Saccharomyces cerevisiae S288C: one gene and its partners. The gene in region 3 interacts genetically with the main gene of each other region. Each region holds a gene or a part of one and is shown on either strand. Other genes may lie near its edges.

Region 1 (4,932 bases), 330 kb from region 3:
TCTTCATCGTCGTTAAATTCCACGTCACCTTCCATAACGTGACCATATTGGCAGGTTCTTCTCCCATCAATGATACGCCAAAGCCGTGAGGGGCAGTTGTCTGTACCGCAGATGGGACCTCTTATGAAAGTAGACATCCTTAAGTGATGTAGGGGTATGTCCGAGTAGTTCGTTCAACTATTTTTAAAGACACATCGTTCCAGGTTTATATTCATATACATATGTATGTATTGTATAGGTTTTTTTATTTTTTATTTTTTATTTTTTTTTTTTTTTTTTTCAATTTTTTTAAGCTTTTCTTACTTTTCCGATGCCCTTTCCACTTTAATCAATATACGTATGAAATTCAGCCGAAGTTTCCGTTTGATAATATATTAGATTCAATATAAAAAAAAGTTTATATGATTCAGTGTATATATATATATATAAATAAGAGGTGCGAAAGCCCACATAAAGAGATTGAAGAGACTGCGTAAAAAGAAATATATAGAGAGATACTCTTAAAAGTCTTCGTTGAAGGTGAAAGCACCGGCTTCTTGCTTAGTCGACTTGGACATAACACCAGCCTTTTGGTAGTCAGAAACTCTCTTTTCGAAGAAGTTGGTCTTACCGGCCAAGGAGATGTTTTCCATGAAATCGAAGGGGTTTTCGACCTTGTAGTATTTCTTGTTACCGAAAGCAACCAACAGTCTGTCGGCGACGAACTCAACGTATTGGTTCATTAAGTCAGCGTTCATACCTAGCAAAGCAACTGGTAAGGCGTCCAAGAAGTATCTTTGTTCAATTTCCACAGCCTCGGTGACAATTTTTTCAACAATGGCTGGGTCTGGTTTGTTCTTCAAATGGGCGAACAACAAGCATGCAAAGTCGGTGTGCAAACCTTCGTCTCTACAGATCAATTCGTTGGAAAAGGTTAAACCGGGCATCATACCTCTCTTTTTCAACCAGAAAATGGAGGCAAAGGAACCGGAGAAAAAGACACCTTCAATGGAGGCAAAGGCAACTAGTCTTTCACCAAACAAGGCGTCAGCGTCTTGAATCCATCTTAAAGCCCATTCGGCCTTCTCACCGATTTCTGGGATGGTGTGAATGGCATTGAACAAGAATTCACTTTCTTTAGGGTCCTTGATGTAAGTATCGATCAACAAGGAGTAAGTTTCAGAGTGAATATTTTCAATCATGATTTGGAAACCGTAGAAACTCTTTGCCTCTGGAATTTGGACTTCGGTGGAGAAGTTTTCAACCAAGTTTTCATTAACAATACCGTCAGAAGCGGCGAAAAAGGCAAGAACTCTGGAAATGAAAAATCTCTCGTTTTCGTTCATTCTGTTGTTCCAGTCATGGATATCCTTAGACAAATCAATTTCTTCAGCGGTCCAGAAAGAAGCTTCGGCACGCTTGTAGGCTTGCCAGATTTCATGGTACTTGATAGGGAAAAGAACAGTTCTCTCCTTGTCTTCATTCAACAAAGGTTCCTCCTTTTCCATTTCCTTAAGTTTGTGACGGTGAACTTGATGAGATTTCAAGTAAGCCTTGTGATTTTCAGCGTCCTTGCTCAATTTCTCCTTAAGCATGTCTGACTTTACTCTGTTTTCCTCTCTCAATGTCTCCAATTCCTTGTTAAGGTTGGACTTGGAATCTTTGATTTCCAAGTCGGACAATGCATCGGCAGCAGCTTTGGAAGGGGTCTCTTTAGGCATGGTAATTGGACAAATAAATACGTGTATTAAGTTTGGATTCTTTGGTAGATAGCCAATCGAGGGAACAATTAAAAAAAAGAAAGAAATAAAAGACAAGAAGAAGAGCGAAAAAGGGGAAAGTGATGAGGAAAAGAACAATAGATAGATCCAGAAGATGATGGTAACGCGCAAACACTACCGCTATATATACCTACAAAACTCTCATTCTCTCATTTCCTGCTTCGTTCATTTCGAGTTTCCAAGGGTATGGTACGGTGCTATCTGCCCGTGCTTCCCCTCCTTTGCTTTGCTAAGAAAAATTTTCTTTTGTCAGCAGCAACAACACGCTACGCTCTGCGCTGTGCTACGAAGTGGTCTCTGTGGCAACGGGGACATTGTACCCATGCCCGCTCGCAGGGAGGTCTGGGTGTGGGGCGTGTGCGACCTCGTTGCCATGGCGATCGCGCGTGGGTGTGGTCTTTCCCCAAACGGTTGCCCGTTGCTCCGGATTTCGCATAGTTGTCGCGTAAACAAAAAACACGAGAGAGGGCGGACGGCGCTGAATAGTGGAAGATCGCGCGATGTCAAGTAAATAAGCTTGTATTTGTATTTGTATGTGTTTATGTGTTTGTGTGGTTGAGAATTTTATTTTCCTCCTAGTTTTTTCTTTTTTGAGTGCGGAGGGGCAGTGCTCTAAACTTTGCCTGCTTCTTGTTCGACTTCGGCTTCCTATGCAGAACGCAAAATCGCGTGCGCGAGGAACGAGGAAGACAACGCTTTAGATTGGCTTTTTCGTCGCCCATGCCCGTTGCGATAGCGATATGATGAGAAATCGATAAAAGGTTGCACCAGTACACCGCACTTTCTGGCGTGCTTGGATCTGGCTTGCGCGGCCTCGTGCCAGTAAGTAGAAAAGTAGTAATATGGCATGGCGAAAGAGAACAAAACAAGCAAAGCAAGCGTAATGCACAGCTGTGGCTAAAAAAAGAGCACAGAGGTGAAGGGAAAAAAAGATAAAGAAATTAAGGAGGTTGAGAGGGCTTGTGTGTCGATGCTTGGTGAGGCGGGACGTAACGGTTTTTTGTCTGTAGGCACTTCTACCCCACAGGGCCATGAATCTGGCCCGAAACCGTTGCGAGCGTGCCAATTGGTGGTGATATCTTTTTTCTTCCCTTTTTTTTTGTTTTCCGTTCTGTTATGTTCCTTCATCTTGAATTCACTAAAGGGAACAGAAGAAAAAGTTGGATATTAGATAAGCGGTACTTTTCTACAGGTCTAGTATTATTCCTCGGTTGGAACAAGAAATAGTGCTTCAGTAGCTCAGTAGGAAGAGCGTCAGTCTCATAATCTGAAGGTCGAGAGTTCGAACCTCCCCTGGAGCATATTTTTATACGTATATCTTTTTTCCCTCTATTTTGTTTTTTTTTTCTTTGTTTTTTCGTAGCTAGTAAAGAAGAGAAGGAGACCTAAAGTGTATATATACTTAATCTGCGATCATTGAAAAGTCGCTAGCTTATTGTCACTTACTGCATTTTCACAACATCTTCCATTTTTGTTTTCTCAGAAGGACAATGCTGGAAGGTACGGTAGATTATGACCCGCTGGAAGATATTACCAATATACTTTTTTCAAAAGAATCCCTGAACAACATAGATGAACTGATCAGTATTACCAGAAGCTACAAAAAGCAATTGCAAGAGGATATTCTCAAAGAAGAGAATGAATTGAAGGAACACCCTAAAAATTCCGCTGAAATAGAGGCTTCTCTGAGGAAAGTTTTCCAAGATTTCAAAGAAACTCAAGATGTCTCAGCCTCCACCGAGTTGACGATATCGAATCTGACAGAAGGTATCTCGTACCTGGACATTGCCAAGAAAAACCTCACCCACTCTTTGACTCTTTTCCAAAATTTAAAGATATTGACAGACAGTTACATACAATGCAATGAATTACTCTCACAGGGCTCATTCAAAAAAATGGTGTCCCCTTATAAGATAATGTGTTCGCTTGCTGAAAACACATTCATCTCTTACAAATCATTGGACGAGATAAACTATTTGTTGAGCTCCATTTCAAGACTGAAAGGAGACACTTTGTCCAAAATTAAACAAAACTACAATGCGCTCTTTTCCGGCGGCAATATCTCAGAGCATGATACAGCACTCACTATGGAATTGCGCGAAGGTGCCTGCGAGCTACTCGACTGCGATACAAGTACGAGAGCCCAGATGATAGATTGGTGTTTGGACAAACTTCTCTTCGAAATGAAAGAGATATTTAGGGTCGACGATGAAGCCGGATCCCTAGAAAATTTATCGAGAAGATACATTTACTTCAAAAAAATTCTTAATAACTTCAATTCAAAGTTCGCAGACTATTTCTTAAAAGACTGGGAAATGGCAGTCAGATTGACCACCACTTTTTATCACATTACACACAAGGACCTTCAGACACTTCTGAAAAGGGAATTCAAAGACAAGAACCCTTCCATTGATCTATTCATGACAGCATTACAATCGACGCTAGATTTCGAAAAATACATCGACGTACGATTTTCAAAAAAAATTAAGGAACCAAAACTAAGTTCCTGCTTCGAACCTTATTTGACTTTATGGGTGTCTCACCAAAACCAAATGATGGAAAAGAAATTTCTTTCTTATATGAGTGAGCCGAAGTACCCATCTAATGAAACAGAATCTCTCGTGTTACCCTCGAGTGCAGACCTTTTCAGGACATATCGTTCCGTACTGACTCAGACCTTAGAGCTCATTGATAATAATGCCAATGATAGCATATTGACTTCATTGGCAAATTTTTTCAGTAGATGGCTTCAAACTTACTCACAAAAAATTCTTCTTCCTTTACTGCTGCCCGACAATATTGAAGTCCAGGATAAGCTAGAAGCTGCCAAGTATACCGTTTTATTGATCAATACTGCAGATTATTGTGCCACGACTATAGATCAATTGGAGGATAAATTATCTGAATTCAGCGGTAATCGTGAAAAGCTGGCAAACAGTTTTACGAAAACGAAAAATATATACGACGATTTACTAGCAAAAGGAACTTCTTTTCTATTAAACCGTGTCATACCCTTAGATCTAAATTTTGTATGGAGAGAGTTTATCAACAATGATTGGTCAAATGCTGCGATAGAAGATTATAGCAGGTACATGGTAACCCTCAAATCCGTACTTAAAATGCCCGCATTAACAGATGCCTCTATTAAACAACAGCAAGAGCAACCTTCGAC
Region 2 (6,435 bases), on a different chromosome or scaffold from region 3:
ACGAAGAATGGATCTGTGCTACTCAGGGACATTCAATCAAATCGATTCAGCCATCAGATGAGGTTCTCGTACCAATTACTGAAGCGTCGCAGTTACCACAGGAACTAATTCATGGAACAAATCTTCAATCTGTCATAAAGATTATTGAATCCGGAGCAATATCACCAATGAGTAGAAATCATGTCCATTTATCGCCGGGGATGTTGCACGCGAAGGGAGTTATTAGTGGAATGCGTTCTTCAAGTAACGTCTATATTTTCATCGACTGCCATTCTCCATTATTCTTTCAAACTTTGAAAATGTTCAGGTCGCTCAATAATGTTTACTTAAGCAGCAGTATTCCCGTTGAATTGATCCAAAAAGTTGTAGTTAAAGGAAACTTGAAAGATGAGGAGAAGTTAGATACTTTAAGAAGAATTTTACACGAAAGAAACATACCGCTCGAAAAGATATAACTTTCATCAAGCTCAACTTTTATGAATTTTTATTTTTAAATACTTCGCTCTTACTTATATATTTAAATAAAAACTTTTAAGATTAGATGAAATGAATTGTCTCCCTTTTATAGCTTTCTTCCTTCTTTTTTGTTCTTTATCTTTTATTTTTTGTTGGTGTAGCAGTCTAACTTTCTACAATTTCCTGTGTAGGTTCGAATTTGAGTTTATGATGGGCAGCACCTTCGGCCACCTGTTGTTTCCTCTTTTTAGCTAGAGCTTTAGAGGCTTTGATATTGAATCCGTCCTTTAAAATTGTTTGAACTTCCTCTAACTCCAATCCTGATAGTTCTGGATAACAAAAGTAACAAAAAATGGTTGATAAACATGCTACACCGGCAAAGAATGAAAATGTACCCGTTGGTGTAATATTTTGTAACATAGTCAAGAACGTAGACGCAATGACTAAAGAACCTGCCCAATTGGTGGCAGTAGCGTAGGATGTCCCTACACCTCTGACGTTTTGTGGAAATAATTCCGATTGTTGCCATGGAACAGTGCCGATACCGAGGGCATAAAAGGCTGCATACACAATAATAAATACGATAATGACAATGCCCCAAGATGAAAATCCATCAGATGCCACTACTGCATCAGCACCGTTAAACTTAATACCTAGGAAATGGAACGCTATAGCACATATAACCAGCGCCACAGTCATACCAGGTAGTCCAATCAGTAAAATGTACCTACGGCCGATTTTATCAATACAGAAAAATGCTATTAATGTGAACACAAAATTAGTACCTGAGACAATAATAGAAACGGCAGAAGAATTTTTGAATCCAACAGTTTCAAATATTGTACCGGAGAAATACATTAAGGAATTCCAACCTGTGAATTGTTGAATGGCTTGTAGACCACAACCAATAATCAAAGCTCTGAAATTTGAAGGCACAGTGTGCAATTCCTTGACCATATTCCAGAATTTTGTTATTGGATTTTTTCCTGGTATCGATTGATTTAAGCTAGATAATTCTTCAACTTTTTGATCAATTATTTCATCTTCAGTGTTTACGTAACTTCGTTTGAGAACCATTTTTGCTCTCTTTAAATCGCCTTTCATTACGTAGTATCTTGGTGTATCCGGCAAAAAACAGAAAAAAGAAAACTGCAAAACAGTAGGTATCAAGGACAAACCAACTAAGATTCTCCAACCGTTTTTGACGTGGTTCAGGCCCGCACCACAACCGTAAGCAATCAATTGACCACCTGTCAGCCATAGGGAATTTATAACGGTTAACCTACCCCTGATCATCTTAGGAGCAATTTCACTAATAAAAAGAGGAGAAATCAAAGAACCAATACCGACACCGAAACCCATAATCAGTCTACCGGCCGCCATTTGCCAAAACTTGTGCGCGGTAATTTGTAAAATTGCTCCGATCAAAAACATCAGATTGGAGAACATTAAACATGGTCTTCTTCCAAACACATCAGCAGCAGTACCAGCGCCCACACTTGTAATCAAAGCGCCCAATGATGTGGCGGCCGTAATTAATTCTTTTTCTCCATAAGTTAAAACTTTGTTGTCTAAATCTCTATTGATAGAAATTAGCGCACTCGATATGTAACCAGTATCATAACCAAACATGAACCCAGAAATGGACGCAACGAATGTCAATGTAATAATAAAAGGGGATATTGACTGATTGAAAGTTATAATCACTGATGTATCATCTTCATCGTTAACTGGTTTAATGACAATTCGACCGTCATCCTCGTCCTCATCCTGTCTAGATTTTATTTGCATTGTAGAGGTGGATACGGGAGACTTTTTCGGTTTTTGACCATCATTGTCTTCTTCACAGTGCTTCCTATGGTGCAGTTCTTCTCCCTGCGTAGAAGATTGATCAGTTGAGGCGGCCCCCATACCACTGCTATTAGTGTACGAGGGAAAGAAATGGGAGAGACGACTCTTCGTCCATCTGGAACTAGCAGCTGTCGAATTCTTCATTTCAGCCATGAAAAAAAAGCAGTTTTCTTGCTTTTACTGCGTCCTGCCTCTTTTCTTCTTTTAGTTTTTTGTTTTCGTTACCGTTTTCCTAGCGAACGACAATGTTTATTTTATTAAGGTATTCTTTGTGTTTTTTCGTACTCTATACTAAAGTATGGTCAACTGCTTACGTTCTGTTAGGCGGAAGACACGAAATAACTTTGCTTCACATAATATTTTGCATACTTTTAGTGGCAAGACGAGCGATTTTGGAAATTTTTTTGGCGATGTTTTTTTAGTAAAGCGGGTTTTTGACTACAATTTGAAAGCTCTTGTAGTAGAAGAGGGAACAAATAAGAAAAAAGGTTCCGGGATGAGGATTTGAGCTGAAGGTGAGAAATGGGTGAATGTTGAGATAATTGTTGGGATTCCATTGTTGATAAAGGCTATAATATTAGGTATACAGAATATACTAGAAGTTCTCCTCGAGGATATAGGAATCCTCAAAATGGAATCTATATTTCTACATACTAATATTACGATTATTCCTCATTCCGTTTTATATGTTTATATTCATTGATCCTATTACATTATCAATCCTTGCGTTTCAGCTTCCTCTAACATCGATGACAGCTTCTCATAACTTATGTCATCATCTTAACACCGTATATGATAATATATTGATAATATAACTATTAGTTGATAGACGATAGTGGATTTTTATTCCAACATACCACCCATAATGTAATAGATCTAATGAATCCATTTGTTTGTTAATAGTTTGAATGTTTTTATCGGAAGAGGTTTTGTCATCACATCAGCAATGTTCTTCTTGGTCTCGATGTAGTATACGTATAAATTATTACCTGATACTTCATCTCTAAGTCTCATTGCCTTTGTGCCAAAAAATCTGTTTCTAAATTTCTCTTCATTTGTAGACTTAATTATACTGATCGTTGATCTACTATCAGTAAGTAAGCCTTTAATAATTGGTTTCTTGTTAAGTTCTTGTATCAGGTAACTTAGATTATTTAATAATGGGACAGATTCACTTATCGCGTGTATTTCTGCTTCCGTAGTTGAAGTACATGTTAATGAAGCCTTGGTGGACTTTCCTCCAATTACCTTTCCATTAAGTAAATATATGTTGCCAATTTGTGATTTATAATACGGTTGGTTGCCATACGAAGCATCACTTATTGCGACTAGTTTATTATCTGGCTCGGTAGGTTTGTTTTTGTGCCATATCAGTTGTTTATCTCTAGTGTCCCACATGAATTGTATCAACTCATATGTCATGTCTAAAACTTGCCTAGAGGGGAATAGTATATGTTGAGCAAGTGTGTTGATGTAGTATAGTAAGTCAAATCTAAATTTATATCCAACATATGAAGCTAGACCAATCAACTTTTGCATTTCATGTACCTTCTCTTTGTATTCATCTTCATCTATTTCTAGTTCATCCTGGTCTATATAAAGACCTGGTTGACCTGGAGCGCTAAGTTTTCTTCCTTTTGGATTCAAAGGTACGTTTAATTTGGGTATTTTCTCAGTTAATGAGTTTTCCATACCTAATTTCATGTATTTACCTCTTTGATATTTGATTTCTAAGCCAAGTATGTCGTACTGAATTTCGTTATCACTTTCACCCAGATTTATTATCTTTGTATCGTATTGTTTCTTGAGTGTTGTTATGATTTTCTTATTTGCATTTAAGTCTTTGCTGAATAAAATCATGTCGTCAACAAATAAACATATTGTTACTTGACTATTCTTAAATACGCATGACCATCCACGAACTTCTTCCATACCACACTGTTTTATCAGGTATGATTTGATAGTTTCGTACCAGTTCGCTCCACTTTGTTTCAATCCATAAAGTGATTTCTTCAAACGTATCAACTTATCATTCATTCCTAAATGTGGTGGAGGTCTTATGTATAATTCTTCTTTGATGTCTGCATACAAATATGCCGAAGATATGTCTAATTGTGTAATATAGTAGTTATTGTCTAATGCAAGTGACAGGGATGTCATTAATGCATAGTGATGTACGGTATTGGATTGCATGCCTGAGTCGTAAGTGTCAGGATGCTGAATATCACCTCTTGCAACAAATCTAGCTTTATGAGTACCGTCACGTTTCTTGTTGAAGATAAACATTGAGTTTATTACTCTTTTAGGGTCTATTTCTTTTCTGTCATAATATTCGTCAGTGTCCCAAGTTTTCATCTTCAACAGTTGATTGACTTCTTTGTGGTATGCCTCGATATATTTTTCTTTTTCTTTAATATCTTTATTATAGGTGATTGCCTCATCGTATCGTAAGGTTGTCCGTATTGGTTTGATTGATTTTACTGCTTTTACAGCTGCAATCAGGTGAATTCGTTTCTTCGATCTCGGAGGTTCTAAACTACGCATATTCTTAGTATTCCATGTGTCTCGTGATACCTTAATTTCAGTTTCATTATCTTCTAATGATCTTTTCTTACTGTTGATAGTAGTATAGGCATTAGAGTCACCAATACCACCCAAACTGGAATTAGTTTGATGAGAATTTATCGGTGGGAGTTCTTTAAATGGGTCAGGGAATTCGGTAGGAGATTCTGGAGGTAGATCAGGGAGTGGGAGATCAGCGATGATAGATTCCTCGGTATTCTGTTCAGAAACAGTAGTTGGCGTTTTGATAGGAACAATATTGTGCGATGAATTATTTTCCGGTGGAGAAGCATCGATTGAAGGTGAACGGTGTATAATCCTTTTCTCAGTCTCTTGGTCACTTATCTGCGGAACAGTTTTGTTGTTGGTACCACCCGTACTGGATATTGGTACGTTTGTATGATTAGTCTCATTTTCACTGTACGAGTCTGAGTGTCTGAAATCTTTAGATTTACTGGCGTGCGACGACTCATGTGTGTTAGATTGGGACATGGGAGCAAGTAAAGGAACATTTAATTTATGCATACCACCCGAACCGGTACTCTCGATATTGGAAATTTGGGGGGTGCTAGATCTCTTCTTTGATGGAAGAATATTAGATTCAGATATGTTGGGGTCAACTTCTCTGGGTGCGCGAATATTGGTTTTAGAAACACGTTTCGAATCTTCAGTATGAGTTGACGGAGGTGTGGAATCGGTTGGACTCACAGCTTTTGAAAGGACATTTCTCGGTTGCTCAGGATGTAGTTCGATGTCAGATTGGAAGTCATGGTCAGATTCTATGTTAAGATCATCGGATTGTTGGATCTCATTTGACGCAATGAACGATTGATATGAAGCAGTTAAACGGTTTAAGTCTTCATCGAAAGTGAGTGCGTCGTAATTGAATTGATCTAATCTGGATTCCTTGCCCTGAAGAATAACATAGTTAGTTGTATCTACTGTCTTCTTTAAGGATGGAAGATAGATGATATATCCATAAGAGTTTCGAGACGGATGTAGAGCGTAGCCTGGGATGCCACGAGGATGTATTTTGGAGTTAGGGTTGTGATCATTGACGATAACAGGTTGACCGAAAGGTAACAAAGTACTGATATCAAGTCCTGCCAAGCCAGCATGTTGTCTTGCAGATTTTTTGCTTTTAGGTGAAGCTAGTGAATTTCTCACAATAGTAGAAAATTCGATTGCAGAGAACCATAAATGGTTCGGTAAACCACTACATTGCAGTTGAGTACGGCAGTCATCTAATAAGGTACGGTTGAGCCGTTCAGCGACTCCATGTGCTCGGGAATCCGCTGTGGTTGTATAGCATGGAGTTATACCATTTTTTTCAAGGAATTTATGGAGAGTTCTGTTAGTATACTCAGAACCACGGTCCATTTGTATAACCAAGACACTGGCCTGAAACTGGTTCTTAATAAAAGCTAGTATCGTAGTAAAAACATCGAGGATAGAGTCCTCGCGACGGTCGTGTAATGGATAAACCCAACGGAATTTTGTTGTCTCATCAGTAAATGAGATGAAATAGGATGGTGCACTTTTTGGTAGGTTGTGAACTGGACCAAA
Region 3 (8,812 bases):
CCCAAAGCAATACCTCCCATTGCCAAAATAACGATTGACCACGGAAAGGCATTTAAATCTTGTGTTGATAGTAATCCGGTACCAAAAAACAAAACGATGGGAATGATTGCAATTTGACCTGATGACCCAAAAGCACCTTCAATCTGGCTTTCCACACACCACAACAAAATAGTGGCCACAGTGACAGTAATGATATAATACTGCTTAACTGTGAATTTCGTCTTAATAGGCTTAAATTTTTCCAATTTGGTCTTATTCATCTTGAAAGTAGTGAACAATAAAATCCAAACCAAAAGCATGGCCAGGATACCAGATGGCAATGCAACAGCAAAGAATTGGCCCCAGCCAATACCATAGGGTTTCAAGTACGACATGGAAATGATGTTTTGAGGTGAAGAGATTGGTGAAGACATACCACCGATATTTGCAGCCAACGCTACACCTAACACCAATGCTTGCGCAAATGGGCTATCTGCATCCATGGCATCCAATAGGGGAGATAACAACGAATATGTTAGAACAGGTGCTGCGACATTGGAAATCCACATTGATAGGAAGAACACGACACACATTGCCATTAAAAGAACGTTTCTGGGTTTACAACCAGCGAAGGCCAACAACCACGAGGCAAGAACTTTGGCGATGTTATATTGTGCAAGTACTTCACCCAAAGTAAAACCTGCCAGCAGAATCATAATTGTAGAAGACCACATGGCGGCCAAAATTTCTGATGAAGCGCTTGCAGCACTCATTATAGCCCCGTCGGAGGTTTTTAGGACTTTGAAAAGGACTACAAGTAGTGGTACAAGGAATGCTGTAATGTGTAATGGGATGGCCTCACTAGCCCACAAAAAGGCGACACACTCGACAAGGGCCATGCAGCGGTGCTGAGCAGCGTCGTTGAAGGTCTTTATTCCTAACAAGAGTCCAGTGACTAGAATAATAAAGTAAATCTTGTATGCTTTCTTGGTGAAAAATAATTTCGGTAGTGCAACGTTGTTTATACTAGTGAATTTTAAGTTTATCGGTCTGGGTAGTGGCCATCTGTAGTATTCCAAATCTAACTTGCCTACCAGCTTATTTGCATTATATTCTGTTTCCTTTGGTGTCAACTCGTCAGCTTGCGATAGCAGTCCCAACATGTCTTTCCAAGTGTTACTTCTTTCCCAAACAATGTGGTCATGCAGGTAGGATTTCAACTCTTGCTTGCTATGCGAGATATTATGAGGCCGGTCAGTGATGCGCGCATAAAATGTGACTAGCTGGGAAATTTTGGAATTTAGCAATTCGATCGTTTCTGCCTGGAATGCATATGTGTCTTTGAAAAACTGCTCCGATTCGATCAGTTCGGTTCTTGTATTCAAGTGAAGAACTTTGTCTGATTTCTTTGTAATTTTTGCAAACCCAATGCGGTTCAATTCGATGAACGACTTCAACTGGCAAAGATCGATATATAGGTTTACGATCGACTTCTTCAACAGCGATTTTTTCTGAGACTTAATGTTATACTGCGAATGATGCAGCAAAGCAGTATTATCTTCAATATTAGATTGATCATCGTAAAATTCGTCGTCGTCTTCGTCATCATCCAAGTCTAGTGGGGGAACTTCGTCATTTGTGCTGGCAATCGGTTCGTTAAACAGAGTATCATCGTCGATATCGTATTCTATAACTCCGATTTTCTTCAGGTCCTTCACCAGCGCGTCAAATTTGTCGTAGAACTTCGCTTCTGTCCTCTTATAAAAATCATCTACTTTCTGTTTTTCAGCTGTTAAATCACCAACAAACGTATCATAAGTGTCTAATTGCAGATTTTCGTTGGCCGTGGAGGAGACGGACGATGCGGAAGACGACCTTCTTTTGTAAAATATCTTTTCCTTCATTCTTCTGAAAGGAGAAGGTTTGGCAGCGACCGTCTGAGCAGTAGGCAACTCTCGCAACTCGATGGTTTCCTCAACGATGCCTGCATCTTTGTTCATACCGGAAGACGTATCTTCCTTCGCATTTTTAAAAGAAAACTTGTTTTTGAACCTATCTGTAATGTTAGAGCTCTTTCCTGCGCCAAATCCTTCTTCGTTATCACCAACCTGAAGTTCATCTGTTTGTAGCGTGTAAATAAGATTTTTCAGCTCGCTGTAGTCCATATAATGGTTTTGCCATTCTGGGACAGCATTGTACTTCAAGAAGTGTGAAAATCTCATGATCCTGTACCAGCTACCACTTACTCGTTTATCCTAAAAACAACTTTATTGGCCGGATGACATCGAAGTGAACAGTGTTCTTTATATCGATGAATCAAAATTTTTCAGTGAGCCATTCATTCTTCGAGAAGCAGCGCAAAAAAAAACAAAAAAAAAAAAAACGGCTGTAGCTGCGGCGATATTGTGAGCGCCCCGCTTTAGGGCGACTTTACCCATAGTAAAAAGGGAAGACAATAACGAAATAAGAAGAGAAGAGAACCGTGGTTTCTCTGTTGCTTAGGATCATATACGCCTACAGCAAGGCACCTCTTTATGCGTATGCAGTCATACAAGGAGTGTGGAAATGCAGCACAGATGGCCTTCGCTGCTTGCCAGGCTGCCATTTTTCTTGGCTGCTGCCGCTACTACTGATTTTCTTACCTCTGCTAGAAACCAGTGGAAATGATTTATTCACAATCTAGCACCATGCAACATACATCCAAATCAGTGGAAATACGACATTATTAGCCGGCCCTTTACGTGCCAAAGGTAATAACAGTGAACGGGAGATGGGAAGCTTAATGCTGTTACCCGCTATCGGTTGTTGCTATGTAAACCAAATATAAATGCAAGCCAAAAAAAAAGGGTAACATAAGGTTAAGTAGGAGAAGGGAGATATTGAATGTATAAGGTGTCAGCATGTGGGGTGAGGATAATGAGTGGCATATCAGAAATTTGGATTGGCGAACTTAGAGATTACAAGTACGCTTTACGTCTTGATAGAGAAGAGTATCCAGCGGTGCTTGTTTACGAGTATGACTCGTCTTCTACTAGGAACTATCTTTTTACCATAAAGTACAGCGATCAGAGGCCGAACTGGCAGCTCATTACTCGTGACGCAGCTTTAACAGCTTACGACTTACTTAACAGAGGTGGCGAGTTCACAACTCTCAGCTTTCCGGGAGCCACTATTCACCGTTCAGTCAGTGAGCTGTCCCGATTGCATTAACAATATATAAGGGAGCAGAGCGAAACAATATGAGGTTCAGTAACATTTAAGGGTCGCTATTGAGTGTTTTGTGAGATATAAGTGAGTTTTGAGATAATTGTTGGGATTCCGTTGTTGATAGAGGCTACAATATTATGTATACAGAATATACTAGAAGTTCCCCTCGAGGATATAAGAATTCTCAAATGGAATCTATACATACTAATAATACGACTATTCCTCATTCCGTTTTCATATGTTTCGTTCCTATTACACTATCAATCCTTGCATTTTCAGCTTCCATTACATTTGATGACTGATTCTCAATCTTTATGTTATCTTTTTACACCACATGTGATAGTATACTACTAAACAGTATGCGGTAGCTATACTCTTTAATGAATGGGCGAAGCCTCCCTAGTATTTTATCTTGACATATCTAAAGGATTGCACAATATTGCGATTTGTTCTCCACAATGAAACCTTCTCAATAATTGTCCGATCATCCACCCATTTCTTAAGATGATAGACGATTCTTAGTCCAATAACATTGTATCCTTTACGTTCCGTAGAATATCATGTTGTTGATCCTCTTCTCAGCACAGTGCTTATTACTCTCACATCAACATCAAAAAAATTGCTTCATGATTAAAATGTTTGTGGAATATAACCGTTAAAATAGGTCAGGCAAATATAAAATAGAAGCTTCTATGGCCAAGTTGGTAAGGCGCCACACTAGTAATGTGGAGATCATCGGTTCAAATCCGATTGGAAGCATATATTTGATTTTTTAGCAATTAATTTTTTTTTTTTTTTTTTTTTCACGCTCTTGAGTCATCGCGAGTAAAATTCCACTGGAAAATTTTTTCAATATATACAAAGTTCCACAATATCATACAGCTCTCACATCGTAGATTATGTCAATAGATGGTATGGCATCAAACATGTATATAAACTAAAATATTTTCATCTTTTCGTATTATTCGATTTGCGCACTTGCAAAAATAAGAATTTTCGACTTTCTTTAAACATAAAACTCTAAGAGCAATAAGCAAGAGATTCGATGCTATCTTCAGCTAATAGGTTTTATATAAAGAGGCATTTGGCAACACATGCCAATATGTTCCCCTCTGTATCTAAAAATTTTCAAACAAAAGTGCCACCTTATGCAAAACTTTTGACCAACCTAGACAAGATTAAACAAATAACAAACAATGCTCCATTGACACTAGCAGAAAAAATTTTATACTCGCATCTTTGCGATCCTGAAGAATCGATTACTTCTTCTGATCTGTCCACCATCCGTGGTAATAAATACTTGAAGCTAAACCCAGACCGTGTAGCTATGCAGGACGCTTCTGCCCAAATGGCGCTTCTACAATTCATGACCACCGGTCTAAATCAAACATCTGTCCCAGCATCCATACATTGTGATCATTTAATTGTAGGTAAGGACGGTGAAACTAAAGATTTACCCTCTTCCATAGCTACCAACCAAGAAGTTTTCGATTTCTTGGAGAGTTGCGCAAAGAGATATGGAATTCAATTCTGGGGCCCAGGTTCTGGTATCATTCACCAGATTGTTTTGGAAAATTTCTCAGCTCCAGGTCTAATGATGCTAGGTACTGATTCCCATACACCAAATGCAGGCGGTCTGGGAGCTATTGCCATCGGGGTTGGTGGTGCGGATGCAGTTGATGCCCTCACAGGCACTCCATGGGAATTAAAAGCACCAAAAATTTTAGGTGTTAAATTGACCGGAAAGTTAAACGGATGGTCCACTCCTAAAGATGTAATCACAAAGCTCGCTGGTTTACTAACTGTCAGAGGTGGTACTGGTTATATCGTCGAGTACTTCGGCGAAGGTGTATCCACTCTATCTTGCACAGGTATGGCAACCATCTGTAATATGGGAGCTGAAATCGGTGCTACAACGTCAACTTTCCCTTACCAAGAAGCTCACAAGCGTTATTTGCAAGCAACTAATAGAGCAGAGGTCGCTGAAGCAGCTGATGTTGCTTTAAACAAGTTTAACTTCTTAAGAGCCGACAAAGATGCTCAATACGATAAAGTTATTGAAATTGACTTATCCGCAATTGAACCTCACGTTAATGGTCCATTTACACCAGACCTTTCAACCCCAATATCTCAATATGCCGAAAAAAGTTTGAAGGAAAACTGGCCCCAAAAAGTTAGCGCTGGTTTGATTGGATCATGTACCAATTCATCTTATCAAGACATGAGTCGTGTTGTCGACTTGGTCAAGCAAGCTTCCAAAGCCGGCTTGAAACCACGTATCCCCTTCTTTGTCACCCCTGGTTCAGAACAAATTAGAGCTACCTTGGAAAGAGATGGAATCATCGATATTTTCCAAGAAAATGGTGCCAAAGTTTTAGCAAATGCATGCGGCCCTTGTATCGGACAATGGAATAGGGAAGATGTCTCGAAAACATCAAAAGAAACGAACACTATTTTTACATCATTCAATAGAAATTTCAGAGCTAGAAACGATGGTAATAGGAATACAATGAATTTCTTAACATCCCCAGAAATAGTAACAGCGATGAGTTATTCTGGAGATGCTCAGTTCAATCCGCTAACTGACTCAATTAAATTGCCAAATGGGAAGGATTTCAAATTCCAACCACCAAAGGGTGATGAGTTACCAAAAAGAGGATTTGAACACGGTAGAGACAAATTTTATCCTGAAATGGATCCAAAGCCAGATAGCAATGTAGAGATTAAGGTAGACCCTAATTCTGATCGTTTGCAATTATTAGAGCCATTCAAACCTTGGAACGGGAAGGAATTGAAGACAAACGTGCTTTTGAAAGTTGAAGGTAAATGTACAACAGATCATATTTCCGCTGCGGGCGTCTGGTTGAAATATAAAGGCCATCTAGAAAACATTTCTTACAATACATTGATTGGTGCACAAAACAAAGAAACCGGTGAAGTCAACAAGGCTTATGACCTTGACGGAACTGAATATGATATTCCTGGTTTGATGATGAAATGGAAATCAGACGGTAGACCATGGACCGTGATAGCGGAACATAACTATGGTGAAGGTTCCGCAAGAGAGCATGCTGCTTTGTCACCAAGATTTTTAGGCGGAGAGATTCTTTTAGTTAAGTCTTTTGCAAGAATTCATGAGACAAACTTGAAGAAACAAGGTGTGTTGCCATTGACTTTTGCCAACGAATCTGACTATGATAAAATATCAAGCGGAGATGTTTTAGAAACGTTGAACCTAGTTGACATGATTGCTAAGGATGGTAATAACGGTGGTGAAATTGATGTTAAAATTACTAAACCAAACGGTGAATCGTTCACCATCAAGGCAAAACATACTATGTCTAAAGATCAAATCGATTTTTTCAAAGCTGGTTCAGCAATCAATTATATTGGTAATATACGAAGAAACGAATAAATTCTGAAGAGATATTAGCTAAAAATTAAGAGTCCGATTTAATAGTCATAAGCTAGTTTACACAATTCTATAGACTCTGCATATAGACGGTGCAAATAACCTACCTATTTATTTATTTATTTACTATAAAAAACGTAATATTGTTTGATATATAATATTATACACGAGATCTCGACTGCTTCAACTACGGCTTAACTCAAGGGTGGGGGGTATTTTGTTGTCGTATATGCAATATGTATGTGTTAAAAAGATACAATTATGTAAGTTACCACCTTTGTTTCATTTCATTCATTACTTGTAAACCTTGTAAACGTTCTTCGTACAATGCAGCTAGCCTGCTAACCTTGTTGCTTGCTTTAATATCTGAATATCCCTTTTGAGAGAATTTATCTGCTGTCTTTGAAGTAGTTTCATTTTTCTTCTTCTTTTCTTGTAGTTCTTTGTCGAACTTCTTAATCTTCGCGTTTTGGACGAGGGTTAAACTTTCAAACTGTTGTACGAATATATCTGTTTCCACAGAATTTTTATCCTTTGCTGGCTCGTCCTTAACCATTTCTTTGATATTATCTGATATCGTTAAATCGGTGCTGCTGTTACTCAATGGAAGCGAGTCTGCTGATGGAGTCTTCGTCGGTGAGGATAATGTATCTGTAGAAGAAGAAGCTAATGCCAAATCTGTATTAGAATTGGAAGTTAGAGACAGTTGTGGTCGTGTAACTGCCTTAATAGGAAGTGGAGGTTTGGCATTGAATGATGGGGATGAAACATTTCTGCTTGAAGACTTAGGTTTCAAGACTGGTGTATTTTGTAATGCGACAGGTGTGTACGTTGGAGACGTAACAGATCTTTGTGGACTAGGGCTTCGACTTCTAGGAAGGGTTAAGCAGCCTAGTTCACTGTATCTGGTTGGCGACGACTTCCTTGGCTTAGGCAAAACAGGGATAGTAGAAGACGATGATACGGATGAAGGAGGTGATGATATTTCCTTCGCGATTTCGGGGAAAAAGTCCAGTAAATTTTTAATATATCTCGACCCAATAGCTAAACGATCATTAGTCATCATGGAAAGTTTTTCCTTACATAACGCCGGAGTTAAAGCTTTACTTAGGGTCCTTGAATCATGTTTAGTCGATTCACCATGCGCTATGATCCTATTAAAAAAAGGAATTATGACCATAAAGAGGTCCTGGTATTGGTTGAATTTAATAATTTTGCGGAATGTTTCACTTGTGAACTTTAGATCATCAACAATTGGTAACGGAATTAATTCAATTGGGATTAGAGGTTTGGCTTTATTCTTAATGAAGTAATTCAACCACACGGATGCCAAAGAATAAATATCCCATTGAGATAAATCAATGTAGTTGTTTCTTTTGATAATATCCAAAAAAATGTTTACCTTTTTATAGTTTCCCGGCTTCTGGAATATCAATTCACACAACAGAGCGTCATTCTGTAATTTCTTGAAAATTTTATCGAATACTAACTGCCTATACTGTCTTATTGCCAGAGGGGTCAATCTGTTATAATATTCCTCCGGGACATTTATATGTTCGCGTATCTGGTAATCATATAAGTACACGTTCAACGATATTCTAAGTCGCGTAATATCTATTAGCTCGGATAAAGAAGTCAGGTCCAAGACATGAACTAAACTTGGAAAATCATGCTGACTATCTTTTGAGTCCAAGAAGTTAAAGTTCATAGCGTTTGAAATTACTTGATAGACCGACCTAACGAAGAATGACTCATGAACAATAAAAATCTTTTGTAAATAGAACTTGGTCTCTTTGGGTAACTTTGCAAACATTTTAATACCGTAAACCCAGCTTATTTTTCTCTGGGAAAACCCAGATGAAAAAATCACCAGTGAATATGGTGCCTGTGGCAATTTCATTACCAATCGATCCATGAGGGCATTAATAAGCAAGTCATAAACTTGCTTATCGCCAATTTCATCAGATGCTGGCAAATAAGTCGAATCAAAGACATAAATTGCGTGACCAGAGTTAGGATCAACTGAATAAGATCTAAAAAATATGTTATTAACGTTGATATCTATCATCCTGGCCTTCTTTCACGCTACCAATAGTATTATCCAGTAGGGCCATATCCTCGAGAATTTCACTTTCTATATACAAAATAACATCAACATGAAAAAACGCCAAAATACGTACGCCGTTAATAGTGATACATGTGCTCAATTACGGT
Region 4 (8,173 bases), on a different chromosome or scaffold from region 3:
GAAACAGTTTATGATAAAGGGCCAATTGCCGCTATTAAGGAAATTTTAGACCAAGTGTGATTTTAAAGGTGATCTGATCTACGCGCCCTCGATAGTAATGACTAAATATCTTGGGTAGAGTATATATAATGTCGTATTTTTGTATATTGTTTTATTTAGACAAATAGTAACGTGTTATGTTCCTTCAAGCGCATCTTTCATGATTTTCAATCGATAGTCAAATGGATCCATTTAGAGTTTCTCATCACCATCACCATATCATGTCACTCCACCCCGCTTTACGTAAAAAAAAAAAAAAAAAATTGAATAAATGACTAAGAATTAGACACAATTTTGTCTTAATGAATACTTTTTACCTATGACACATACCAGTTTCTACATATGTTGATCTTCATAGCTCCAAGAATCTTCATAAATTCGTGACAAATTAGAATTACACATTATTATGTAAAATATAATATACAATGTTGCCTATCAAGACAAGCATATGCACTCTATGATCAATCAGAACCCTTTGAGAACTTCAAAAATTTCTTCCAATCCTTCTTCTCGGTCTTACTTTCTTCGGAAGGAATACCTCTCCTAGAAGGTGGGACCCAAGATGCAGATTTCCATGGTTTTATACCTTCTTCATATAGTAATTGGATTTCCTCCAAAGATAGACCAATCGTTTCTGGTAAAAAGAAGAAAACGTACAGAAACATTGCAACCAAACAACCTACGAACACATAACCATAATAGAAGTGGATAGACCCAGTAATGAATGGTGTGAAAAACCCGATCAAAAATTGCCACAACCAGTTGCATGCAGTCGAAATCGACATGGCCCTAGATTTGACCTTCGAAGGGAACGACTCGGCAACCACAATATAAGCAACAGGAGCCCATGTCGTTGCAAAGCAAAATATATAGAAGCAAGTGAACACAATCATGGCATTACCTGCACCTTTTGAGGATGGACCATCCTGGCCATGAGGGTAAAGACATTTCACCCCGATACTTGCAAATATGACCATACAAGCCATCATCCCAGCTGCACCAAATAAAAGACATTTACGACGGCCAATTTTGTCTACGACCATAACAGCAATAATAGTGGAAAAGAAGTTCACTGTACCTAGAACGATCGACGTCTCAAACCCATCAGTAAGACCGACTGATTTGAAAATGGTAGTTCCGTAGAAGAAAAAGTAGTTTTCACCAGTAAGTTGCAAAAAGGTTTGCACAAGAATACCTGTGATCAAACGTTGAAGGACTTTAGTTTTGACGGAGAAAAGTTCTTTCCATGAAGCTTCTCCTAGTTCTCTTTGGGCAAGGACACCGGCGTTGATTTCATCAGCCTGTTTGAGTACCCATGGATCCTCTGGTGAAACCTTGTTGATTTTGGCAATGGAAGCACGGGCCTCTTCGTGTCTCTCACATTCAATAAGATATCTTGGGGACTCTGGAACCAATAACATACCAATGATGATAATCAAAGTCCATAAAAAGCAAAGCCCAAGTGGGACTCTCCATTGTGCAGTGTTATCGTATTTTCTCGTACCATAAACGCTACAATAACCCAAGAAAATACCGAAGGTCATGTTAAGTTGGTACAATGAGACAAGTCCACCTCTCAAATCTGTAGGAGCTATTTCAGACAAAAGCATTGGACACAACACCGAACAGCCACCAGCACCAAGACCATAGATAATCTTACCAACGAAGTATTGGTACCATTTGTGATTCGAACTGATCTGAATAATTGCACCAACCATATATACCAACACCACGATTACAATTGCCAGCCTTCTACCTAAAGTATCAGCAAGACGGGCAAAAATAAGACCACCTATGGCACATCCAATACTGAACATAGCCACAAGAAGACCCATACGCACGTTGCTCAAATAATATTCACCAGTGCTATGCTTGTAAGAACCGAAGTTCATTTTAAAGTTGTCCATGTTAATGAAACCTGCTGTGATACCACTATCCCAACCAGGCAGGAAACCCCCGAAGGATATTGGATAACACAATAAGTAAATGACAAGATAACCTATGAGCCCTCTTTTTGGTGGCTCAACGTTATCCCCGTTTATGACTTCGTTGTCATCAAATCCATCTGACCACTCTTTTTCCACGGGTGGTGCGACGTGAATATCAGCATCAGGACCATCCTGAATATCTCTATCACTTTCAGTGGATGATTGCATTTTATTAATTTTTCTTTTCTTTTCTTTTTTTTTTTTTTTTTTTTGATTTATCAAATGAGAAAGAATTTACACAACACTTGCACAACGAAAGAAAAATATCACACCTAAACTTATCGCTTTATATATCTCGTTCACCATATTATCCTGTGATTAAGGAGGGTGTTATGGCAGCAATGCTATCCTACCACTTGAACGATAAAATTCTGTGCCAAGGAGGTTTCACCGTTCGTATACACTTATCTCAATTGATACTGCTTGCCGCCTTCTTTTGAATAGATTCCGTGCTATTTTGCCTGTTTTTAGACGAGGATACTAATATTATATTATCTAATATTATCCTCGAACGTTTACGTCATCATTTGGGATACTATTCCACATTCTAGGTTGCTAACGGTCTTTGCACAGTCAAGTCATCCCACGCATTTGTGCCTATGTGCCTATATGTGCATTATTCTTAATACCCCGCCACTCTATGCACAAAAATGCATACCCCACCTCCACCTTCCTATTTTGTGCATTGACTATTTACTCCGAAACGAACCCTTGAAGTTAAAATAATTAAACTTTTTGGCTGCAAACCAGTGACGTCAGATATATTTTATAATAACCCCAGGGAGGCAAAAGCTTCTTTCTCGGCAAGGAATGAAGATGTGAAAAATTCGTCAAATAATAGCCGGGCTGGTTACAGCAAGGGGCGGACTTAAGAAATAAGAACGGAGATATAGAAAAAAACTCTAACGAAACATAATCACGCAATCCCATTGGAATAGTTTAGGATTCTTGAAAAAGAAAAGCCCCCCACAGTACGTCGTATTTCATTTACATCTGCAATACCCCCACTATAATTACTTCTGACAACATTTAGAATAAAGGTGTTGAAATTTTTTCTTTTCTTGTTTATTACGTTGCCACTGAATAGCCTACGAACCACAAGGAAGTGAACAGGAGCCTTTGGCAGCTTAGCTCATTGAGTGGTATGATGAAATAAACTTCCTACCCCGTGTTATTAAGATCAGTTAAAATATTGTGGGGGTGTCGTAATATGTAATAGACATGTGATACATTTTTATGTACACTCTATACTTTCAGCATATAAATACAGAGATAAGTTGAAGTTTGATAGCTCAATTGATCAGTTTGTATGATAAGCAGTGAAAAAAAAAATCAAAACAGATAACAAACAGCGAAATGTCAAATAGTAACGGTGATAATAAGTATGGTGTCATTACAATTGGTGATGAGAAAAAGTTCCAAGCTACCATTGCGCCACTTGGTGCAACTTTGGTAGACCTGAAGGTAAACGGCCAATCAGTCGTTCAAGGTTATTCAAACGTACAAGACTATTTAACAGATGGTAACATGATGGGCGCTACAGTTGGTCGTTATGCCAACCGTATCGCCAAGGGTGTTTTCAGCCTGGATGATGGTCCTCACAAGTTAACTGTTAACAATTGTGGTAACACAAATCACAGCAGTATCAGTTCCTTAAATCTTAAGCAGTACAAGGCGTCCCCTGTTGAGAATCCTTCCAAGGGCGTTTACGTTGTTGAATTTAAATTGTTGGATGATCACACACAGCCCAACCCTAACGAGTTTCCAGGTGACTTGGAAGTCACAGTGAAGTACACTTTGAATGTTGCAGAAATGACTTTAGACATGGAATACCAAGCACAGTTAGTTCGTGGTGATGCTACTCCAATTAATATGACCAACCACTCGTATTTTAACTTGAACAAAGTCAAGAGTGAGAAGTCCATTCGTGGTACAGAAGTTAAGGTCTGCTCGAACAAATCGCTTGAAGTTACAGAGGGGGCATTGCTTCCAACTGGTAAGATCATTGAAAGGAACATTGCTACTTTTGATTCAACTAAGCCCACCGTTTTGCATGAAGATACTCCGGTCTTTGATTGCACTTTCATTATTGACGCTAACAAGGATTTGAAGACTACAGATTCTGTGAGTGTCAACAAATTGGTTCCTGTTTTTAAGGCCTATCATCCCGAATCTCACATCAAATTTGAGGTTTCGACGACAGAACCAACCGTTCATTTGTACACCGGTGATAATTTATGTGGCAAATTTGTGCCAAGGTCTGGATTTGCCGTTCAGCAAGGTAGATACGTTGATGCTATCAACCGTGATGAGTGGAGAGGTTGTGTTCTTCTGAAGCGCGGCGAGGTATACACTTCAAAGACTCAGTACAAATTCGATATTTAGGTGAGGCTGAAGCTTTTTACGTTTGTTACGTTTCTTCACTTGCTTGTAGATAAAACCTTTATAATGATATATGATCTAGATTAAACTCAACGTTTGTACGTTTAAACCTAAAAGTTTTTGGACCTGTCCCAAAATAAATATTATCACAAGTGGTAGTACTAAATTGAGCGTAACAGGCGGACTCTGTAGGCTTTTTGTGAGTTTGGGGTCTGAATATTTTTTACTCTTAAAAAAGAATACAGAACTTACTAAAAAAAATCCGTACTAAAAAGGTAGAAACAAGAAATGGTTTATTTGAAAAAAATACTTTACGTCCCAGCCTCACTAAAATTGAGCAGGAAACCGTATATCAAAACTATCTACCAAGAGAGTTCTGGTAAAAACATTTATATGAATAAAGATTAAATTATGCCTATTTTTTTCCTAGCAGTACATTCACTATGTTTCTATATTTAACGCTTTGTCGTTATCCCGGATAAAATTCTTCAGGTTATTTGCAGACGTTTGTCACATTATTTTTTCATTGACAAAATTTCACGAACTCTAGTAATGTTCAAATTCAAATGTCATGCAAGGCCCCTATGAACATTATTACGCTGTTTAACCAGCGGATAATAATTAGATCGCGTTCGTCGTAAATATAAAACATACGCTCTGTAAGTAGGTCCCTCTGAACGTTGGCAATTTGACAGTGAACTAATGAGTCGTATTCATAAAGAAACATCAACTGTGTACCAAAATACTTATTTGGGATTATGTGTTTATAGCCTTGATTACCAATGTTTGCATAAATAGAAGTTACCCTATTTCTTTGAATAATATAACATTACATTTCTGCAATATTCACATCATCATATAACCCAAAATTCACAGTATCGTGTGCTAAATCGGTTAAAAAACCGCCTCACCTGCACCCATAGTATACCTGCAATTTTTTTCTTCATTTTCTCTTAAATTTACTTGTTATTCTTTTTACGAAGCCAATTTTCATAGGGGAAAAATGCTTAACTTGAACAACGTAATAAACCACAATCATACCGGCAATGTTGAAAAGGATATAAGCCTAAATGAAACCGAAGTTTCTCCATAAGTAACTAAAGCTAGCATTTATGCGCGCCAAGTATTCATCACCTACTTTGTACTGACAATAGGCGCAATCTGCTGTTGCATCTGGATTTGCAATATACCCAGTCCCAAATTCAAAAAACGGTTTGGTAAATTCACCACATGTTTGGCCTACCGGGGGGTTGAAAAGAGACAACTCTTTCTTTGAACATCTTACGGGTTTGTCATGCATCAATAATCCAACTAAATTTTGCAAAAAATACGTGTAAGGGGATAGTTTCCACATGAATGTCCAGAAACCAGGCATTAAAGAGGCAGGTTGGACAGCACCGCAGAAAGAGAGCAAAAACGAAAGTATAAAACCTACAATAACATTGGCAGATTGTAGATTTGGAGACATGTACAGAATCATTAAAGCAAGACCAATATAGTAAAGTTGAAAAAGTATGGCATAGTTCAGATAAAAAACACTTGACCTAGAGGCTTCGGTAAAGACACCCAGAGGGAAATATGATGAAACGAAAAAAATTGTTGAAAACAATAAATGGTAAGGCAATTCATTTAAATAATGGGTAATCAAAAGTAAAGACCAATGAAACATATTAGATTTGGACTCACGAACTTCATATAGCTCCTTAGCAACGGTAGCACGCTCCTGTATTTGGTTTGTTGCAGGAGCTGATATAACGATAGCCATGAAACAGGCAAATAAGCTATTTTGTAATCCAATAGCATTTACACCCACATGGAAAAAGGTAAAACCAATGAACAAGCCACTGATCATCAATAACATCATTTTGGCCATGATGTAGTTCAAGTTTCTCCAAAATGTTAAACTGGATCTTTTCAGCACATGATGGAATTGGTAGGAATACGATGTTGCATACTTAGAGGCCCTTGTAGCTGTTTTATGCAAAGTTGTAGAAGATAAGTCCTTAATCATGTCATTTATTTTTTCGTTAATGTTTGCATACTCGTGAGATTTTTGCCATATATCAGGCCAGTTCTGTTGAACAGAAGCGGTGGCCCCAGCTCCTATGGCTTCTAAAATATACTCTGCCGGATTTTCATTTTGTTGACATTTCCTGGCTCCGTTCTTTTCGAAATACTTAATGACAGAACTTGAATTTTTACCTATTTCACCAAAATAAATTGTTTGACCGCCTTTTCCCAAAAGCAATAATCTGTCAAACTGTTCAAAAAGAGTAGCTGATGGTTGATGAATAGTACATAAAATTGATTGACCTGCTAGAGCTAATCTTTTTAACATTTTGACGACGGCCCACGCGGATTGGGAATCCAAGCCAGAGGTCGGTTCGTCCAAAAACAATAACAGATCCGGCTTGCCAACTAGCTCAACGCCAATTGATAGTTTCTTTCTCTGTTCAACATTCAAGCCGTAACCAATTTCGCCGACAAGAGCTTCTGAGAACTCCTGCATTTCAAGAATAGATATAATTTTTTCAACATATTCCATCTTTTCAGCGTCAGGAATAGACTGTGGCCGACGCATACGAGCACTAAATTGTAGCGATTCTTTGACAGTAAGTTCAGCAACATGAAGATCTTGCTGTTGAACATAACCGGTACGCCTTTTGAAACTAGCGTCCATTGGGAGACCATCAACTAACATATCACCAGTAATCGTTCCCACGTTCCTTTGAGCCAAAGTGTTTAATAATGTGGTCTTACCAGCGCCGGACTCACCTATTAATGCTGTCAAAGTACCAGGAACACAGTAACCGCTTACGCTGTCCAGAAGTTTACGTTGTCCGCTAGAATGAGGAATTGTGAAAGAAACATTTTTCCAAATAAACACCCCGGTAGATTCCAAACCTTCAAAGTCTGCACTTGTGCTATCGTCGTTACTTGAAGCTATCTCTTTCATATCCTGTGTTGCTATAGAGGCATTAAGGTTCTCTTCGTCATTTTTGCTGCTCCATGATCTTTGTATAGCATTCTTTGTGCCCTTCTTGACGACCAGAGCATCACCACCACTTTTGACAGGACTTTTGTACTCAGTGAAAACCGCCCTCAAGACGATGTAGCCAATTAAGAAACACCACATGATGCCGAAGTTTCTCCAAGTATTTTTGTACTCATATTGATATTGGGCCCTCAAATAATCATCACCTAGGACCCAAGATTGGCCAGGCCTTGAACCAACAAAAGCACACACTTGATTTTCTGGCAAGATGTTTTCAAACCCAGGTCCAGAAGGAACCAAAGTGCCACCACAATCCATATGTCTTCCATGAAATTCTGCATTTAACATCGATTCAAATGCATATCTAATGGGTAGAATGTACGAAATCCACTTAAACCATGGATGCATTGAAGGTAATTGTATCATGTACGTCGAATACATGGCAATAGATAACATCACAACACCGGCAATGGAGTTGGCCTGGGACAATGTATCGCATAAAGATGAAACCATCTGAAACAAACTTGTAATAGCTTCTGAACACATTGTCAATAACAAATACATAGTAAAAAAAGCACCGGCGCTTCTATGCAAACCGGCTAAGAAGTACAGGATGATTATGAAAAATGTTAGACCAATCATTCTGAATGGAAAAGAAGAAATCGTACTTGCTAACGCTTCAGCTGAGGGATGATATAGTGAATAGACCTTGTGTTTTTGCAATATTGGCCTGTGCTCGAAACTAATATTAGCTAAACCCATCAAAGAA

Evidence for each region.
Region 1: mutations in ACO2 (region 3) and RNR2 together harm fitness less than expected from each alone (positive genetic interaction), as found in Saccharomyces cerevisiae (one large-scale study listed by BioGRID).
Region 2: mutations in ACO2 (region 3) and ITR2 together harm fitness less than expected from each alone (positive genetic interaction), as found in Saccharomyces cerevisiae (one large-scale study listed by BioGRID).
Region 4: mutations in ACO2 (region 3) and HXT17 together harm fitness more than expected from each alone (negative genetic interaction), as found in Saccharomyces cerevisiae (one large-scale study listed by BioGRID).

Annotation. Positions count from the first base shown.
Region 1 is NC_001142.9:389,172-394,103, reverse strand, and holds RNR2 (ribonucleotide-diphosphate reductase subunit RNR2), read right to left. Parts: upstream 1,701-4,932; coding exon 501-1,700; downstream 1-500. Other genes in the region: RRN7 (Rrn7p), read right to left, coding at 1-137; YJL027C (uncharacterized protein), read left to right, coding at 1,855-2,271; YJL028W (uncharacterized protein), read right to left, coding at 2,458-2,793; VPS53 (Vps53p), read left to right, coding at 3,251-4,932. UniProt on the Saccharomyces cerevisiae protein: Provides the precursors necessary for DNA synthesis. Catalyzes the biosynthesis of deoxyribonucleotides from the corresponding ribonucleotides. RNR2 provides the diiron-tyrosyl radical center.
Region 2 is NC_001147.6:120,017-126,451, reverse strand, and holds ITR2 (myo-inositol transporter ITR2), read right to left. Parts: upstream 2,452-6,435; coding exon 622-2,451; downstream 1-621. Other genes in the region: TPT1 (tRNA 2'-phosphotransferase), read left to right, coding at 1-455.
Region 3 is NC_001142.9:54,233-63,044, reverse strand, and holds ACO2 (aconitate hydratase ACO2), read left to right. Parts: upstream 1-4,231; coding exon 4,232-6,601; downstream 6,602-8,812. Other genes in the region: PHO90 (SPX domain-containing inorganic phosphate transporter), read right to left, coding at 1-2,201; MBB1 (Mbb1p), read left to right, coding at 2,863-3,189; ECM25 (Ecm25p), read right to left, coding at 6,867-8,666. UniProt on the Saccharomyces cerevisiae protein: Catalyzes the reversible dehydration of (R)-homocitrate to cis-homoaconitate, a step in the alpha-aminoadipate pathway for lysine biosynthesis.
Region 4 is NC_001146.8:766,679-774,851, reverse strand, and holds HXT17 (hexose transporter HXT17), read right to left. Parts: upstream 2,196-8,173; coding exon 501-2,195; downstream 1-500. Other genes in the region: MAN2 (putative mannitol dehydrogenase), read left to right, coding at 1-60; YNR071C (aldose 1-epimerase superfamily protein), read left to right, coding at 3,384-4,412; ATP-binding cassette multidrug transporter PDR18, read right to left, coding at 5,476-8,173. UniProt on the Saccharomyces cerevisiae protein: Probable glucose transporter.